2 linked regions of the Drosophila melanogaster genome follow. The protein of the gene in region 2 interacts with the protein of the main gene of each other region in a pairwise test. Each region holds a gene or a part of one and is shown on either strand. Other genes may lie near its edges. The genes, in order: CG4367 and Gnptab.

Evidence for each region.
Region 1: the proteins of Gnptab (region 2) and CG4367 interact in a two-hybrid assay, tested with the Drosophila melanogaster proteins (one large-scale study listed by BioGRID).

What each region holds. Positions count from the first base shown.
Region 1 is NT_033777.3:20,303,167-20,306,574, forward strand, and holds CG4367 (uncharacterized protein), read right to left. Parts: upstream 1,812-3,408; 5' UTR 1,790-1,811; coding exon 1,616-1,789; intron 1,555-1,615; coding exon 1,036-1,554; 3' UTR 789-1,035; downstream 1-788. Other genes in the region: CG4362 (uncharacterized protein), read right to left, coding at 3,147-3,310, 3,378-3,408.
Region 2 is NT_033778.4:9,205,197-9,209,124, forward strand, and holds the start of Gnptab (N-acetylglucosamine-1-phosphate transferase subunits alpha and beta), read right to left. Parts: upstream 1,929-3,928; 5' UTR 1,829-1,928; coding exon 1,738-1,828; intron 1,677-1,737; coding exon 256-1,676; intron 199-255; coding exon 1-198. Other genes in the region: VhaAC45 (vacuolar H[+] ATPase AC45 accessory subunit), read left to right, coding at 2,569-2,654, 2,718-2,820, 2,887-3,148, 3,221-3,909.

The sequences.
Region 1 (3,408 bases), on a different chromosome or scaffold from region 2:
GAAACAAAGCCCAAAAAGGGCTGAAACACTTGTAATTCAGTTGTGAGCGATTCGCACATTTTGACGATAATGGAGAGTGTGTTTTTTATAGTTTTTAATCGAGGAGGGCATTTCAAGCCGTATCTGTACTCTCCTCAAAACATAGAGCTCAATATATATCTAAATACATCAGATTGATGGCATCATTAGTGGCAATCGAGATTACACACTGTTGTTTGCGGTTTGTTTAGTTAATTGTTAAAAGGAAAACGTAAACCAATAGATATTCTTAAAACGCGACTTTTGAGTTTTGTAGTGAATTTACCGACTTATCGTTTGCAATTGACTTTTGAAGGCTTTGTAAAATATAAAAGAAAAGAATGCATATATATATACATACAACTTATTTGTGAAGTTAACTAATAAGCCAGTTAATGTGAAACATATTTTGTAAGCCACGAATAACTTAAGACAAATTACGAATATTAAAATAACATACAAGATACAAATACGAACATAAACAGGATAGCTTAAAAACAACAAATATTTAAGCACTCAACCGTGCAAATCTCATCCGATCGTTAAGAACACGTCTAAGACAGGGCTTTCAGAATCAAGAATTTAATAAGTAGGATCCATCTTAGGAGGAGGGAGTGCGATGCCCTGCACCTCAAAGACGAACGGTCATCACCAACAATCCACACACACACTCAAAACACACACTCATATATATGTATAAATAATATATACGACGATTAATTTATTGAATAAAACAGAAATAAACATTCATAATTTTCAAAATGGCATTTATTTATGGTGGTTCGTAAATACTTAACTATTATTGTCTTATTGTTAAATGGAACTTTTTGAGGTGCATTTTTTATCAAGTATTGTTAAATCAATACATAAATGAAGAATTGAAGTAATAAAATAACCTTTTCTTAAAACAAAATCGTATTGTTGATGAACAATTTGGAACAATTAGAAATAAATAAGTTACATAATTTATTGAGACTAGCAGTATTGTTCGATTGGCCACCGCTGATGATAACCACCTCACTTCGATTCCGCCACCTCCACGGGCACCTCCTGGATAATACTTCTCGCTGAGGATAGTACACTGATATCAGCGCAGTTAATAAAGGTTTCCTGCGCCCCACAACCCATGGCGCCCGTCCCATCCTCACAAACACCCCAATTATTTCCCGCCGTGTAAGTCCAGCGCAAAACGCAATGAATGCAGTTGAGATCACTGGGCAGTTTCACGGTTACTGGGATATCGCCAGTGGTGGTGTTAATGTAGTACTTCTGGCTACCGTCGGTGAAATTCAAAGGATATTGGTTAAAGCAATCCTCCGACTCGCTGCCATTTTCGTCCAAATCGCAGATGTGGAAGCGGAAGTAGCCCAGATGATTGGCTGTGATCTTAACATTAATTTCCGCTTCATCTACTCCGGCAAAGCTCTTTACAATCACTCCACTGCCATATTTTCCACCCAACTCATTGGGTCGCGGCTGCTCCAAGCTCCAGTCGTCTCCGCACAGTCCACATTTGCCATCATTTTCGGTTTGTTTCTAAAGGGTTAAGAACATCATTGAATCAAATGAATATAGAATTTTTTTAAGGCACTCCTACCCAAAATCCACCGCAATATAATGCATTGTCATCGTAGTTTGTTGGCGCCGAGTTATCGTAGCGCCAACGCGAGGATCTTCCGGTTGGACTTAACATCATACCGTGGCCCTCCAGTTCACCCATCCGGTTTAAAAAACCCATGCTAAGAAACAGGATAAATTTATACGTATTCATATTGATTTCACTTTCTTTGTGGCCAAAACGAACTGGTCGTGGCCTTATATAGTTCCATATTGCCAAACCTTATCAGTTGCCGGGCAGTTTATGTTTGTTTTTGATTTTTCGTCCAATAACCGTGAATGCATCTTATCGGCTCACAATCTTAATTTCGTTTATGGTTATTGGTAGTTAGAATTTGGGAGAATTTCTTGTATCTGACCTGGAAAGTGTGAAAACACATATGACACATCTAAGCAATACCCGTATTTTTTGGTAACCTAATCATAATAACTTGGAAGACTGCTTTATTATGCTATTATTATTTAGCCCACCAATGCCATTTTGATAGGAGTTCAAAGGCTTGGAAAAATTCTCACGATTTCGCAAAATTTGTTAGCCAAGGTCAACGATTCTTAAGTGCAATTACTTACTATTTTAGTTGGTTTTGACTTCAGCACTTTTCTGCCAATCATATATTGTAGTACGGTCCATACAATAGCCAAAAACGCAAATGTTTTTTTAAACAACAAATTTAGAGCACTTGCGCGCAGCTAAAAAAAATTGGCCACGTTTAAGTTCAGGGATTAAGCTGCTCGTATATTAATAAATCAGCAATTATTTAGTTTCGATTATTCCATGATGCCTCCAGATAAAACATGCGAGTACTTTGAAGCCACTATTTTCCTTTTTCATGGCCCTTTGGCTCAAAATAAGACATATATTTTAGCACATACTGCAAAAAAAGATGCATATCTATCTTCAGATTTCATAAATTTAAATTGCCCTATAAACACAATCTATTTGGTCAACTTTTGCGGTTATATGCTTTTGTTTTATCGATACAACGTGTTCTCAGAATCATCAATTAAGCATTAATAATCAAGGTGAAAGCGAACAAAATATTGAAATTTGCAATGAAAAGAATCGAACTATAAGTAACGTAATTCTGTTCTTTAAAGCCACTTCGCCTTCAATTTACACACTATTATTGTTATTATATATAAACAAATTTCTATTATTTTTTTTTGCTTGCTTTTTAGGTCAAAACCTAGCAGAAATACTGTATACCTGAAGGCCGTAGAACATTAACAAATTCTGATTTATACAATTTGTTGCATAGTTTTGGACTTAAAAAATATTGGTTATGATGTGTCTATCTCTAACATCTGTTTAAATAATGTATCTAAATTGGATAAGATCTCAAAATTAAACAGTAAATAAAACTAAATTTCTATAAATAGGAAGCAGCTCCAAGGACCCAATTAACTAATGTGTAAATGTTCACTCATTTATTTAAATAACTTTAGCTGACTATTTGGCATTTTGCATTTTCAGACATAAATGGCAGTTCGTTGAATTTTAGTCTGGATTTTCAGGCGACCTCAACCGGAGCCACTGGATCTCCGCCACCGACCAATTCCTTGACCAGGTTGCGACCCCAGTAGATGCTCACATCGGCGCAGTTCTTGAATGTTTCCTGTGGGCCACAGCCCAAGGCTCCGTTTCCGGAATTATCGCAGATGCCCCAGTTGTTGGCTGAAATGCACAAGATGTTCAATTAATTTTCACTTTAAGTTCCATTTACGTTCTGGCCACCACTTACCACCCACATAGGTCCAGCGGAGGACGCAGTG
Region 2 (3,928 bases):
AAACTTGCGCGGATTCCGACGCAATCGGTCCAGTGACTCCACCACCTCCGTGAGATTCGATGTGAGCATCATAAAATTGCTGTGCGAAGTTCTTTTTGGGCTGACATGGAAGTTATATTTGGGTCGGACTGCAAAGTTTGCCGCCAAAGCTTCGGCCAGAAGTGGACATCGGACAACCAAATCCCTGGTTATTGTAGGCTAAAAGAGCAGTCAGCAATTAATATAAATCTGTAAGATATAATCATAAGTACTAACCAAATTAGAGTCCTCGTATCGCTCGTAGACCAGCGTGGAGTGTTCGACTGTGTCCACTTTTAAATGCATGCCCAGATTTCTTGTGCAGTTTTGAACCACCTCCTCGAAGTAGCGCATGGCAGACCAGTCAAGTGGCGGCTGATAGATGCGAGTGAGAAAGGTTCGCACCTCTCGATCCGACCAGGTGGCCGAACCGTCCGTGTCGAACTCATCGAAGATTTCCTCTACACTCATTACTTTGGTTTCGCTCATTAGGAAGGAGTAGTAAGCGAATGCGTACTGCAAATCTGTTGGGGCTCGGAAGCGCTGATGGGCAGTGTCCAGAATTTGCTGGTGAAAACGTCGCTGCATGGCCTCCACAATATCCTTGTCAATTAGGAAGCCCACGTGCGCCAGGACATGGCGTGCCTTAAAGCCATAGGCTCTATTCAGCAACATATTGGTGGCAATCAGCGAGTGAGAGTAAATATCGGTGGAAGACTTAAAATCCTCCTTGCGCAGCCCGTGGCGCTGAGTTGTCTGTGGCTCGGAGCTGGAGGTCTCCAGTTCGGGGTTCAGCGACATGAGTTTGGCCTTGTTAAAACGCTCCACAATGCGACGTAGTTCCTTGAGTGTGGACACATTGCGGTGCCGCATAACATCCTTAAAATTGGCAGAGCTGCGCCTGAACAGCTTTTGGAGACCCATCTGAGGAAATCGGTGGACTCTTGATTGTGGAACAGCGGCAGGCTGCACCTCGAGCACTTCTTTGCTTGGTGGAATGACGTGGGCATCGCTCGCTGGCCCAGTTTCACTGCAGTCGCCTCCATCAAATTGGCACGCATCAATGTTGCAGTGCCGATCGCAAGCTCCATCACCTATGTACGTCCAGGGGCAATCCAAGGCGCAGCCGGGCACCATCCATGCCTGGTACACGCGAACTCCCTCCGCTTCAGTGTACAAGTCCTCCGGATACAGCGGAGCTCCCAGGAATATGTCGTCGTTGAGGTAGAGGAACCTCTTGGACAGCTTTGGTATGCGGTGCAGAAATGTCTCGATGGCCGAGCTGGAGAAGGTGGGCAGCTGGTCGGGATCGGGAGCCAGGACTTCGTGGGGCACCACCGTGACCCTTTCGTAGCTGAGATCCAGCCAACTTGGAATCTGGCCATTGGTTACTATGTACACATGCCTGATCCATGCGGCGTGTTTTTCCAGGGACCTCAGAGAGTACCGCAGCTCATTCTTGTCATCGAACCGCGAGGGATCGTACTTGTCATCGAATCGCCGGATGTCCTCAATAAAGTTGGGATCCGAGCCATTGACCCACGTGTAAACCGCATCGATGGCAGTGCAGGCGCTGCTGAAGCCGCCGGTTTGGCCCTCCTCCGATGCGGACAGATAGTTGGCAACTACCCAGATAGCCAGGCAGAGTCCTCCAGTCACTAAAATTGAAAAAAAAAGAACATTAGTTAAGTAATGGGGCTGGTGAGCAAGGTAACTCACTCGTGAGCGCCAGCAGCTTCCGGCGGGACTGGAGACGCAGTTGTTCCATGGCACGCCGCATCCTTCGCGGCCAACGGCGGCGTAATCGCATTCTCAGGTCCTCAAATGGCACATTTCACACACAATTCCCGCAGTAAAATCATAACAAACATTGTTTTCCTGCGGGACAGTGTGGCCGTGCTAGAACTGCGTAAAATTACTAACTGGAAAGACTGAAATAAAAACTCGGTTCAAATCGAGCTTATAAAAGCAATCAGTATAAAACCCGAATTTCTTTAGATATTTAATTAAACTATTAGTAAGCAGTGCGAAATAGAACATACGGGTTTTAAAGAATCAACATGTGGAATTAACGGAACCGGTTCCGTTGACAGTTTCCAGCTGGAAAGGTGTGTGACTGCGCTAATTGGACACCGAAGATATGAACCTTATTTGACAAACTATACTTTCTTATAAGTATTAATTTTGAAAAGAAACCCAGTTAATGTCAGTTCCTGGTGCAAATATCCAATTAGGCTTTACTAAATGCTCTCAGAGTCGAATAATTTTTTTCTAGTATTTTCCTAATCTCACGCTTTTGGTATTTTTAGACAGCACTGCGGTCAGCTGGTGCGCATCACATGACCGTCATAAGGTTTTTTTTCTCACTGGAATAGGCGACGTCGAGCAAGGCAAAGCGAAAATTTTCACCACCATTTTTCGTTTGTAGTTTCAGTTCACTTTTCGGTTGGTTTTTAGTGCCTCTTGCGTTCTCCTTGGTTCCTTACTTATGCATTTTTCGTTCTCCTTTGTTTCCATTAAACCCCCACCGAAGTAAGCGAATCCAGCGCGATGTTGTGGAAATCGCTGATTGCGTTGTGCGTCATTGGGGCTGCCGTGGCGGAGCAAACGCCCGTCTTTTTGTGGGGAGCCAACAGGTGGGTGAGCGCCTGCACCAGTTGAATGTGAGTGTAACGAGTGCCTTCCTCCTTTTTTCACAGTGTGGCGAAACCCTCCCTGAAGACGGTGTCCCAAGTGGAGTTTGCCGAGCAGTTGGCTGCATTGCTGGAAGATCACATGGTCGTGGCCTTCGAGGAAAATGGCGTAAGTGCTTGAGAACCCACTTAGATAGCTAGGGCTTGTGACACATGTGTTTGTTCCCCAACTCAGCTGAGCAGCAAGGACTTCCTGTGCTCCAACTCCCAGGCGCAGTCCTGCTACGCCCAGCTGCAGGGAGTGAGCCCCAAGACCTACTACACCAGCGTGGAGAACCCCTCGGAGGCACTGCGCTCAGTGGCCGCCAAGCGCGAGCACAACTCCATCGATGCCAGTGGAAAGCTGACCACGCCGGCCAAGTGTGCCGTAGGTACGGCCCTGTTTGTGACCTTCGAGGACGCCGCCGAGAGCCGGGAGGCCAGTCTGGAGTCACATGGTGGGTCAACAATAACGTACTACAAAGGCGTCAATAAGACACACTAATTTAACAATGATTTAACACATTTAGACGCCGCCATAGCTGCTATCAGCAAGCAGTTCGAGTGCAAGGTGGCTTATCTGTACCTGGCCGCCCCCTCCACGGCTCCTGTGGTGCAGCGTCGTACCCGCCGTGACACCGCCGCCACAACCGGTGGCATCATGTGGAAGTCGACCAATCAGTTTCAGATCTTCTACACTGCCCTGCTCTACAACGGCAACCCCATCACCGTCACCGACCTCAAGCTCACCAACTCTAGCTCTACCAAGCTATCCGTTGTTATGGACACATCTGTCGCCGACAAGCCAATCACCTTTGACGTTGTTTATAATGGCGGATACTTTAGTCTGAGCAATTTGGTCTACGACAACAACAACTTCCGCTCCAGCGGCGTGAATGCCCCAACCACGTTCTCTTACTCGTGCGGCAACCTCACCCTCGAGTCCGCGGCCGTCAACAACATGTACAACACCCTGAGCTTCAAGTCCCTGCAGCTGCAGGCTCCCTTCGATGGTACGTACAAGGAGGACTTTCCCTTCGGCGACTCCTGGGACTGTGTGGGCTTCGTGACGCCCGGTATCCTGATGGGACTGTTTGTGGTCGCCCTACTGCTGGTCATCATGTTCGTCGGCGTCTGCTGGATGATGGACATCAACACGATGGACCGCTTCGACGATCCCAAGGGCAAGACTATCACCATCAATGCCGCCGCCGAGTAAACCGCCTACATCATCGGTT